Saccharomyces cerevisiae S288C: one gene and its partners. The protein of the gene in region 1 interacts with the protein of each later gene in a pairwise test. Each region holds a gene or a part of one and is shown on either strand. Other genes may lie near its edges.

What was found.
Region 2: the proteins of FPR3 (region 1) and NOP53 interact in binary tests that used the Saccharomyces cerevisiae proteins (3 or more experiments, as listed by UniProt).
Region 3: the proteins of FPR3 (region 1) and SPB1 interact in binary tests that used the Saccharomyces cerevisiae proteins (3 or more experiments, as listed by UniProt).

The regions. Positions count from the first base shown.
Region 1 is NC_001145.3:119,531-123,068, forward strand, and holds FPR3 (peptidylprolyl isomerase FPR3), read right to left. Parts: upstream 1,795-3,538; coding exon 559-1,794; downstream 1-558. UniProt on the Saccharomyces cerevisiae protein: Proline isomerase that belongs to an abundant class of enzymes that catalyze the cis-trans isomerization of X-Pro peptide bonds and can accelerate the refolding of proline-containing polypeptides. Specifically binds nuclear localization sequences.
Region 2 is NC_001148.4:275,509-279,241, forward strand, and holds NOP53 (Nop53p), read right to left. Parts: upstream 2,022-3,733; coding exon 654-2,021; downstream 1-653. Other genes in the region: ATP-binding cassette long-chain fatty acid transporter PXA1, read left to right, coding at 1-359; oxysterol-binding protein KES1, read right to left, coding at 2,887-3,733. UniProt on the Saccharomyces cerevisiae protein: Late-acting factor in the nuclear maturation of 60S ribosomal subunits, which is required for normal acquisition of export competence. Required for the export of the large subunit.
Region 3 is NC_001135.5:29,738-34,627, forward strand, and holds SPB1 (27S pre-rRNA (guanosine2922-2'-O)-methyltransferase), read left to right. Parts: upstream 1-1,711; coding exon 1,712-4,237; downstream 4,238-4,890. Other genes in the region: RDT1 (Rdt1p), read left to right, coding at 1,173-1,259; PBN1 (Pbn1p), read right to left, coding at 4,406-4,890. UniProt on the Saccharomyces cerevisiae protein: Required for proper assembly of pre-ribosomal particles during the biogenesis of the 60S ribosomal subunit. Specifically methylates the guanosine in position 2922 of the 25S rRNA at the stage of 27S pre-rRNA maturation.

The DNA of each region.
Region 1 (3,538 bases):
GTTGGAAGAGAACGGCTGGAATCCATCAATCAGCAGCGTTTAACGGTTCTAATTTTCAGTTACAAGGATGATCAACGAGAGCCTTATTTCTAATGTTCCCTAATGTATATGTGTTCCGGCTACTGTTTAGCTGAAGAGCTGTGTCTAGCCTTCCTGGCGGTTATCGTTCACAGTCAGCTTGCGCTTTATTTCATTAACATCGAACTAAATACTAGAGGCCATAACCGCAATTACAGCTGCGGCGATAATCTAATTTAACGTCAATGTCTGAATTCTTATTGCTTTGAAGATTTCTTCACCTTTCTTGACGACCATCCAGTAGCACTCAGTGAAATAGGAACAGAAAGAAGATAACGCTTTTTTTGCCGCCATATATTTCTTTCTATACAACACAGCTTCTTTATTTGTATCATCCGCGGAGAAAAGTAAAATGAAAAGCTTATAAAGAGCAATAGATACTAAAAAGAAATAGAATGTTTTCGGATTTACATACAGAAGGTTACAATATTATGTAAAAAGAATAATATATATAAACATCTATCCGTACGAGCGCGTGTACTAGTTTTTCATAGAAACCAATTTAACGTCGAATGTCAGTTCGGAATTGGCAGGAATACCTGGCAGAGCTTGCTTCCCGTAGGCATATGGTGCTGGAATGATGATTCTACGTTCGCCACCAACAGACATACCGGCAACACCAATGTCCCAGCCTTTGATAACTTCACCACGGCCAAGTTTGAATGCAAATGGTTTACCGCTGGTGTTCTTGTCGAAAACTTTACCGTTCTTTAACTTACCAATGTACCTCATGCCTACTCTGGCACCTCTCTTAGCCTGTGGGCCATCACCGATAGTACGGTCTTCGATTACTATGCCGCCTTCCAAAACCTTACTCTTTGGTTTATGCTTATCTTGTTCCTTTTTGCTTTTGGGTTTTGTTGGACCCTCCTCTAAGTCCTTCTTGAATTCGACCTTCTTTACTTTTTTAGCTTTCTTTTCTTCTTCTTTCTCTTCGTGCTTTCTCTTTTTTTCCTTTTTGCTTTTCTTAGGTTCTGGCTTAACTTCTTCTTTTTGTTCTTCTTCTTCTTCTTCTTCTTGTTCTTCTTCTCCATCATTATCTTCTTCATCTTCTTCTTGGACTTCTTCAATACGAACTTCTTCTTCCTCTTCGTCATCCAAGTCGTCCATGTCGTCGCCAATAATTTCATCCTCATCTGGGGTCAAGTCGTAGTCTTCACTGTCATAGATGTCAGCGTCTTCATCTTCGTCTTCACCTTCGACTCCCATTGGAGTATCAAATGGATGCTTAACATAGTTACCGCTCAAGGAGATAGCGTAAGAACCAGTGACAATGAATTGGACTTCTTCTTCTGGAGTAATGGTCAAGTCCAAAGATTGTTGGTATTGGGCTTCCGGAGATAAAGTCAAAAGGACGGATTCTTGGAACTCATCGTCCTCGTCATCGTCTTCTTCATCATCCTCACTTTCACTTTCAGCCTTCTTGCCTTTACTCTTCTTTTTCTTTTGGGTTTTTTCCTCTTCTTCTTCCTCAGAGGATTCTTCGTCTATTTCGTCTTCATCAAAATCACCACCTAAAAAATCATCATCTTCAAAGTCCGGGTTTCTTTTGATAATTCTTAAAGTCGATGGTTTGTTCTCTTCATCGATGGCTTCCGGGTTCAAAGCAGCCATAGTAATACGAACGGTGATGGGCATCGTGACGTCGATTGCTGGAACCGGGGTATAAGGTTCAACATTCAAACTGTAGGTAGCTAGTGGTAACAAATCAGACATATTGGGCTGGTTGGATGCTTGCTTTCAATTATGTATGAACTTTCACACAATTATGTATTATATAGAAACGTGTTAGTAGGCTCTTTTTTCGAATTTAAAAATTTTACCTTCACTTTTAAATTTTGCCGTCCTTTAGGAATGACGACAGTCCGTAGAGGGCTGAAAATTGAACAGCGAGCTAATACTAGTGGATTCTAATCAATGGAACATGAAGCATGTATCATAATCTCTGTTCTTGCCGGTTTTGACTATATAGATGTAGATGCAATCCAGATTTTAGTGAAAGGTAGAGGAAGCAAGCCAGTTGAAAAAGGTAGAAAGTATGCGATGTGTCATATACATTTGGCATATTCTCCCCATAATATCATGAACAGGTGATAGTAGAATGTTTGGAGCATTGATGACAGATTATTTCCAAAAGAAGTTTGATTGTGCGATCGCTCTCTTTTATGTTCTTTGATGCATTTTTGTACAATATATTAAAGTAACAAATCGGCGAAAGAACGTCAGTAATGTGTCGTTGCCAACCGTAAAGTGCTCGATGATTAATTTCACAATACATTTCAACCAAAGTGTTTTCATTCAAATACTGGCACAAAGGTTTGTTTTTCTAAGTGCCTATGGTGTGCGATAAAATGTTTTTGATGGAACACAGTTCATTGCTCAGAAAATACGCCATTTATCTATTTGTGTCGTTCTTCCTTCCAAGAATTACAAGAATTTTATTTTTTATTCAATGCTCAATCGTCTGCTCAAGGACTTCTGGTAAGTTACGTTAAATAATAGCTATGGCGCTTTTCTCATTTCTATAATGCAGAGTTGGTGGCTATAACCGTATTATCGATGTTATTACCGTTCGAATATATGTAAGCTTAACATTGCCGCATTAGTTTTGCTTGAAGATGCTCTGTCCATATTTTGTTAACCCGTCTTAGAATTGATCATTGCTTGCTTTAAATAATGAAGATCTTTTGACGAAGCCAATGACTATGCTGTCTTCAACTTTTGGCAGTAAAGCCAATTCTGTGAGAACTCGCGGGGAAACTCCAAAGCACACTTAGAGAATAAAAATACATGGAGTCGAAGCATGACTCGGATGATTTCTAACGTCCTGACATTTACTCGAAAGTATTTCACTACCAGTGGGGTAAAGGACAATATCGACGTCCGTTGGCTATGTTGGTAACTGAGATGAAGTTGTAACAAATTCCTGCAGGATGCTTTTACACTCACCGGTTGCATTTTCCTCATTTCATAGATAACAAAGTAAACAGAGCGCATTTTTTGGAGTATTTTATACGTCAATGCGACTTTGATACCTGAAATCCCCTTAATATTGGTAGGAACATTGGGCTCAAGCGATGCATTTTCTCTTGCATTTTGTTTCTCACTATTTGTCTTTTCTACTTTCAATTTTCTTATCTTTGTTCTATTCCCGTTCCTGTTCTATTCCCGTTTTATTTGCTGTGAGCAGGCCTTGTTATTGCCAACGTTTAAAACCATTTACTTTTTGTTTAAAAATCTCTCTTCTATTTCCACATCTCACCTAAAACAACGATCATTATATAACATGAGGTGTATTGTTTTTCCTCACCATACGATCAAATATAACATCACAAAGCTTACAGCAGAGCGACACTTTTTTGCTTAACAATTTGTATTTTGTATGATGCATCCAAGTCTTGCGCCAAGAAAGTCTACATTATAGGAAAGATCAAAGGAACTTGAAATAATGTATTCCTTT
Region 2 (3,733 bases), on another chromosome or scaffold:
GTGAAAAGCAAAGAGTAAATTTTGCTAGAATCATGTTTCATAAACCACTATACGTAGTATTAGATGAGGCTACAAACGCAATTAGTGTTGACATGGAAGACTATCTGTTCAATCTTTTAAAACGATACAGATTCAATTTCATTTCCATATCACAAAGACCCACATTAATCAAATATCATGAAATGTTACTAGAGATCGGTGAAAATCGAGATGGCAAATGGCAATTACAGGCAGTTGGTACCGATGAAGCAATCACGTCGATTGACAACGAGATTGAGGAATTGGAGAGAAAACTAGAAAGAGTAAAAGGTTGGGAAGATGAGAGGACGAAGCTACGGGAAAAGCTTGAAATTATTTGAAAACACCCTAGAAAGGGAGAGATTTTATTTAGCGAATATAATTTATATATTATTTCCGTAACTGAATTTGTACTTTTGAATGTTTAACTGATATCTAGAGATATCGACATGGGAATGCCCTCTCAAACTAGAAAAGGGCAGAGAACGAAAAGAAAATGAAACAATTTGTTACCTACTATACAGTTGTTGGTCTTGCCAACACAAATATGAACATATATATATATATCTCACTTGATGAATCCACGTATCAAGGACAACCTTTTCATGGAAACATATACTGTAAAACAAAAAACTCTATTTGAAGTCCTTATGTGTCCACTTTTCAGTGATTTTCTGCTTATACTTTCTACCTTTCCTAACGGGCACTCTTGTTTCGACCTTACCAGAACTTTGTAGTTTTCTCACAGTATCATATAGCAGATTTCCTTCAGGTTTCAGTTTTCTCAATGAGTCAGATAATTCGTCAGAAAATTTAATCTCCAATCTTTCATCAATCACAGAGTATTTCGTCCCTAACTTGTGTTTCTTATTTTTCTTGCTTTTTTTAACCTTGTTGCTATCTGACTCTATGGCTGAAAGTATCTCAGTCTCTTCAGAATTGATAACTTCTTCTAAATCTTTAACACGTTGTCTCAATTCTTTCAACTCTTGTTGCAATTTTACTTTCTCTTCATGTCTCTTTGCCTTGTTTCTTTGATATTTTGTTTTCTTTTTATTCTTCACAGGCTTATTTATTGATAGTTTTATTTCCTTATCAGATCCACTACATTGCGTACTTTCATTTTCATTTTCATTTTCTTCTTCTTCTTCTTCTTCTTCTTCGTTTGATGAAGACTCTTCCTCTTCATTGTCATCTAAAGTTTCCATTAAATGTCTAATTCTTTCTTTGTACTTTTCCAAGGCGATTCTTTCATCTTCTCTTGCCTTTTCCTCTTTATACTCTTTGTTTATCAATTCTGACCAAGCTTTATTGTTGGGATTGTAGGATTTACCAGCATGTGGAATTTCTGTGAATTCTTTTACTGCAATTGGCTCTATATCTAAAGTACTTGGTCTGACTGAAGCAGTAGACCAACTTGTCGTGGATTTTTTCAATAGTTCTTCAGGTATCTGGTCCTTTTTTTCCACATCAAGTTTGATACCGGAAGGTAATTTGACCTTCTGTTTCTTTGAATTGGATTCTTCACCCCATAAGTCGCCAGCCGTTGTTTTAACTAGACCGTCTTTGGCAACTCTATTCTTGATCTTCGATTCGCCGTGTACTCTGCCAGCCAAAGCCATTAATTTCTTTAATTCGTGTTTAGAAACACCTTGAATCTTATTAGGATTTCCACTACTATTCTTATGGTGATTTAGTGCTGCAATTTTTGAATTCGTTTTAACGGCGTCTAAAATCTCTTTACTTTTTAGAACCTTCTTAATTTGTTTCCTTTTAATTAATTTATTTTTCAATATCTCATCACCCTCAACATCAACATGAAAAAGAGCATCATTTTGCAAAGAGGTTATATCACTGGTACCATGCGTAATTTCATGATCAATTTTCTTTTCCATATATTGTTCTACGTCAGATAAATCGATATTTTTTCTCCATGCTTTCTTACCCTTTCTTGAAGACTGTTTGTATTGAGATGGTTTCTTGGTTAGATTAGTTGGAGCCATTTTTAAATAAATGATTCATTAACGTGAGGATGGTATGGATCACAAGAAAGCCGAACTAATAGCATAAGTTGTAATGTAAGGACCCCATCGCATTTTTATTGCTCTTTTCTTTTTTAGAAGTGAAAAAGCTCGGGCACGGAAAATTTTTTGATGGAATTATAGAATTTCGTCAAATATGACTGTATTCTCTCAGAGCACACCTGTTAGGTAATACGCAATATTATGATAATATTACTTTAGTACTTGGCGTTAGCCTCTTGTGTTTCATTGTTATGGAGTGATAAAACAGGCCTATGGTTCGATAAGCGTACAGATTTTGGGATATACCATAAACTTTGTATAGAAAGTGTTGTATAAGTGCATATACTCCATCGATTATGTGGTTCTACAAAATTGACATAAGAAAATTAGAGAGTTATAAAAAAGACAAAAGTGAGGATATCAACAGAGAAGATAAAATATAGTAATAGGTTGTAAATAATAACAAAACTTGCATGAAAACTTGGTAAACTTCAAATTTTAACCTTCGTATGATGATTAAAAAGGATATGACATCATGAGAAAAAAATGAGCGATCTGTCTATCAATAATTAAAGGAAGAAGTAGAAATAGATAAAGGTTTTTTCTGCTTCATCTTTAACAGCAATATAGCATATTCTTGTGGTTCGAAAGAATAAATTCTAGTCATTATAGTGAAAAGAGAACAAAACAATATAAGATTTAGGGGATGGTAAAAATGATTTCTTAGTTCCTCTAATGATTTCATATCCTTTCCTGTCACATGAAGAGAAAAAGGAAGGAAAAAGAAGAAAAGATAGATAATATATTAGTGCAACGGTAACAAGTTGTTACTTTATCGTTCTCCTTACAAAACAATTTCCTTTTCTTCGTCCCACAACTCTCTTTGGAATCTCCAATGAATGGATGAAAGATCCTCCTTCCTGTCTTCTTTGTCACCCACCAAAGTACCACTTGGAGCATTCTTCGTTGATAAATTTAGAGCAGAGGCGAGTTTTAAGAAAGTGTCATCCTTTTCAGGTACAAGGGCGCCTTCTTCGGGCGTGACAGAGTAGTCAAAATCTTTGAACCATCTTCTTTGCCAGCTAATGCCTTTAGCTTCTTCCTCTTTTCTCAATTCTCTTTGCGTTTCTTCCAATTCAGTTTTCGTTTTGGCAATTAAGTTAAAATCGCCTAATTTGATGGCACCAGCCACGTCGTACCAGGCTTTTCTACTTTCCAGTGGGTGTTGCTCCTCCAAAGGCTTGACATTCAGATGTTCAGCAGGGATTCTAGCAGCATCGTAAAATAATCGTGATTCTTCTTTCTTATTTGCCTTGATTATTTTAGAAGAGCCAGACCATTGGCCTGATATTGTGTATAATGCCTTTTCCTTGTCCTTGCTATCTTTAGAGTCTTTGTAAATTCTTGCCTTGAATGAATTCTTTTTACCAGAAAAGTAGCCTCTACCTGAAAATTCAATAACACAAAGTAGACCTGTCGAAGATTGGATATATGATTTTCCTTCCAATTCAACAAAGGGAGAAGCGACAAGAATACCTTCAATATGCAATGGAGGTGGGGTAACCAAATAACTCTCATCCTTAATATCCAACATAGTGTGACCAAATTGTTTAACAGTCAGCATTAAGGATTTAGTGAAACTGGCTTTAATTTGGTTGTAGCCTTGCAGCTTAACCTTGTTCTTATCATTG
Region 3 (4,890 bases), on another chromosome or scaffold:
TAGGTAATAATAACCCATACTTTCATTGTAGCAGTACTTTCGTTAATAAAATGGATATTGTTGTACTTCGGTAGATGTTATATTCTAAAGAGTTAAATTATCCAATTCCAAATTCTAGGGACGGTTTCCAAAGATTTGTATTGTCCAGTGACATAATTTTCACTAAAACATTGATCTGTTTAATAGGTTTGCTATAAATGCACAATAATTTTTCACCCATGATACCCAATTTCAAGAGAAGCAATTGCTACATATAATTATTTAGGCTTTACTATCTACTACTCATTGACTGTGCCCTTTTACACAATTATAACAAATATGTCAAAGCAGATGCCATGAACTTTGTATCTGAATTTTTGATTTCCTTTTAATTCTAATTGCAGACGACGTAAATATAGTTCTGAATTTCAAAGTCACTGTTAATTAATTGTTCTAATTGTTTGGTTTTTTTAATATAAATCACTAGTGCTTAAGTTCTGTTGACGCACACAGTACCTATCTTTGATTCCTTCGTGCAAACAGTATTCCGGCACGTTAATTGATACCAAAAAGATTTCAAAATCAGATGCTTCAAGACTAATTGTATACTTTATGTGACTTCTGGAGTTTAATTTGTTGTATTGATGAGATAATATTGTCTATTATATTGCCAATAACAACCAGCGCCAGGTGTACTAAGTCGAGATGACAGAAAATTTATAATAAGTGTAAATACAATAAATTTTGTAAATAAATAACTACTTCAATAGAAATCTCAAAGTCGAAGAAACACAGAACACAGAATGAAACTGGACTAAATGATTTTCAATAAAGGAAAAGCACGAAAAATTTTTTGAACTTTTTTGGGACAGCGTGGATCGTGTAATTACTGTATTGGGAAATTTACACGATTCTCGACAAATAAAGAAAAAGGCGCGTTTAAAGACTTACAAGCACACCTTTGAATTATTTTTGTTCTCTATGATTATCAAATGTGCTAGTGTTTGCAAGATGGTGCTTTTTTTTCTTTAGATTGCCACGTTTCTGCTCCTCTTTGTGGTTTTCTTTTTTTTTTTCAATCTTACTTATAAAATGAATATTTCAATTGATGAATAGCTATATATTGGATACAAAAATTAGCATTTAATCGAAAACTGCAGCATGTATTTAATCGAAAACTACAGCATGTAGCTATGATACGACAGAAGATTTTTGTTTTTATAGTTAAGTCAAGAAGAAATTCTATTTGTCCAGCAATCCGGCGCAAAGAAGACTACTAAAGGGTATTGAAAAATTTCTAGAACCAGAAATAATCGAAAGCATTACTTTTTTTGGCTCTATAAAGGAGTTCTGGACAGCTTGAACTTCCGAAGTCTGTCTGTTTAGCTCGTTAAGATAAATCTCAAAAGAGTAGCAAGCAGGTGGGAGGGATAATTTGGATTAAAGTGTATATATTGCGTATATATAGCCACGTAAACCTCACACTATTGAGTTTAAACATTTTTCACCTTACGTTATTATTCTTTTGTCTAATTTTAATCTCCTCCAGTATACTAAAACCGCAAAAGCGGGTTACCCAGCTTGTTTCTTTTTGTCTGAAAAATTTTTTGCGATGCCCATTATGAAAAATTGGCAATAATAGTATAGTAGTTAGTTTAAGTTTAGATTCTTTCAATACTCATTCTGCTTCAGTTTGTAGTTAGATTTAACTCAATAGAGGTGATTGGCAAAAATGGGTAAGACACAAAAGAAGAATAGTAAGGGACGTTTAGATAGATACTATTATCTAGCAAAGGAGAAAGGTTATCGTGCTCGTTCATCCTTTAAGATTATTCAGATTAATGAAAAGTATGGCCACTTCTTAGAAAAATCGAAGGTTGTTATTGATCTGTGTGCTGCTCCTGGTTCATGGTGTCAAGTTGCATCCAAACTCTGTCCTGTCAACTCCTTAATTATTGGTGTTGATATTGTTCCAATGAAGCCGATGCCCAATGTTATAACTTTTCAAAGTGATATTACAACAGAAGATTGTAGATCAAAATTGAGGGGTTATATGAAGACTTGGAAAGCTGATACAGTGTTGCATGATGGTGCTCCTAATGTTGGTTTGGGTTGGGTTCAGGATGCTTTCACCCAATCTCAATTAACCTTACAAGCTTTGAAGTTGGCCGTCGAAAATTTGGTGGTGAACGGTACTTTTGTTACTAAAATTTTCAGATCCAAGGATTATAATAAATTGATTTGGGTTTTCCAACAATTGTTTGAGAAAGTTGAAGCCACAAAACCACCCGCATCAAGAAATGTTTCTGCAGAAATTTTTGTAGTGTGTAAAGGTTTCAAGGCACCAAAGAGGCTGGACCCAAGATTACTGGATCCAAAAGAAGTTTTTGAAGAATTGCCAGATGGGCAACAGAATATGGAGTCCAAGATTTATAATCCCGAAAAAAAAGTTAGAAAAAGACAAGGTTATGAGGAAGGTGATAATTTACTGTATCATGAAACCTCAATTTTGGATTTTGTCAGGACGGAAGACCCAATAAGCATGCTTGGAGAAATGAATAAGTTTACAATTGATGAGAATGACCATGAATGGAAGATCTTGAAGAAATTGAAACAAACCACAGACGAGTTCCGTTCCTGTATTGAAGATTTAAAAGTCTTGGGTAAAAAGGATTTTAAAATGATCCTAAGATGGAGAAAGATTGCAAGGGAAATCTTGGGCATCGAAGTTAAGGACGACGCTAAAACAGAAATTGAAGTAGTACCGTTAACAGAAGAGGAGCAAATTGAAAAAGATTTGCAAGGTTTACAGGAGAAGCAGCGTCTAAATGTCAAGCGCGAAAGAAGAAGGAAGAACGAAATGAAGCAAAAGGAACTACAGAGAATGCAAATGAACATGATAACCCCCACTGATATTGGTATTGAAGCCGCAAGTTTGGGTAAAGAATCGTTGTTTAATTTGAAAACTGCAGAAAAGACTGGTATCTTGAACGACTTGGCGAAGGGTAAGAAAAGAATGATTTTTACAGACGATGAATTAGCCAAAGATAATGATATTTACATTGATGAAAACATCATGATCAAAGATAAGGATTCTGCCGCTGATGCGGACGATTTAGAAAGCGAGTTGAATGCCATGTATAGTGATTATAAAACTAGAAGGTCGGAAAGGGATGCCAAGTTTAGAGCTAAGCAAGCACGTGGTGGCGATAATGAGGAAGAATGGACCGGTTTTAATGAGGGAAGTCTAGAAAAGAAAGAAGAGGAAGGTAAAGATTATATCGAAGACAATGACGATGAAGGTGTCGAAGGAGACTCCGATGATGATGAAGCCATCACCAATTTGATTAGCAAATTGAAGGGACAAGAAGGTGATCACAAATTGAGTAGTAAGGCACGTATGATTTTCAATGATCCGATATTTAATAACGTTGAACCTGATTTGCCAGTAAATACCGTCAATGATGGCATAATGAGTTCCGAGTCTGTTGGTGATATTTCTAAATTAAATAAGAAAAGAAAACATGAAGAAATGCACCAGAAACAAGATGAAGCAGATTCTTCGGATGAGAGTTCAAGTGATGACTCCGATTTCGAAATTGTGGCCAACGATAATGCATCAGAAGAATTCGATTCTGATTATGATTCAGAGGAAGAAAAAAATCAAACAAAGAAAGAAAAGCATTCCAGAGACATTGATATTGCTACTGTTGAAGCCATGACTTTGGCACATCAGTTAGCATTGGGTCAGAAAAACAAGCATGATCTTGTTGATGAAGGTTTCAATAGATACACCTTCCGTGACACCGAAAATTTGCCAGATTGGTTTTTAGAAGATGAAAAGGAACATTCAAAGATAAATAAGCCGATTACTAAGGAGGCAGCGATGGCAATTAAAGAAAAAATAAAGGCAATGAACGCCCGTCCTATTAAGAAGGTTGCTGAAGCTAAGGCAAGAAAGAGGATGCGTGCCGTAGCTCGGTTAGAAAAGATCAAGAAGAAGGCGGGCTTGATTAACGATGATTCAGACAAGACAGAGAAGGACAAGGCTGAAGAAATTTCTAGATTGATGCGTAAGGTTACCAAAAAACCAAAGACCAAGCCAAAGGTTACTTTGGTTGTTGCCTCAGGTAGGAACAAAGGTTTGGCAGGTAGACCAAAGGGCGTTAAGGGTAAGTATAAGATGGTTGATGGTGTCATGAAGAATGAACAAAGAGCCCTAAGACGTATCGCAAAGAAGCATCACAAGAAAAAGTAGTAACAAAGAGCATTATTTTTCCATTCCCTTGTATAATATTGAAAATAAAGGAAAAGAAAGCAATAGATATATTATGTATACATAGAATTAATCAAATTATCATCAAAAAACTTATAGGAAACCTATCGTTTTGAATTCAGAAAATACGAGTGCACAGTAGAACAATTTTTATTCCCGTTTTACTGATCTTTTCTTCTTGTTGTTACCAAATACCTTGGAGAAAATGTATATGATGGAGATGAGTAAGCATAGTAACGTACCATTTTTGATCTTGGAATAATCCTTTGTGTCAGGCCTTGGAATTGGTACTAGAAGAGTTGTCGAGTTCAAATGGCGGAATGTAGTATCGTCTGTAAAGAGAGATTCATATCCTAGACCTTTTTTATAAAATGGATTACGGGAAACTTTATTGTCACCTGTGTCGCAGGCTAATATAACTTCTGGATCAAATGAAACTTCTAATTTATCCCCTTTATTATTAGAAGGCTCAATATATCTAGTATGCAATGTCACTTCATTCATTGTGCCGGCTTTCAATTCAAAGATACTTTCAGAACCCCATGCCTTATCTCGAAGAGAGTATTCTGGTAATTCTAAGTCGTCTTCTCCAAAAAGTAGTAAGGGAGAGGATTGGAATTTATCGATAAATAATT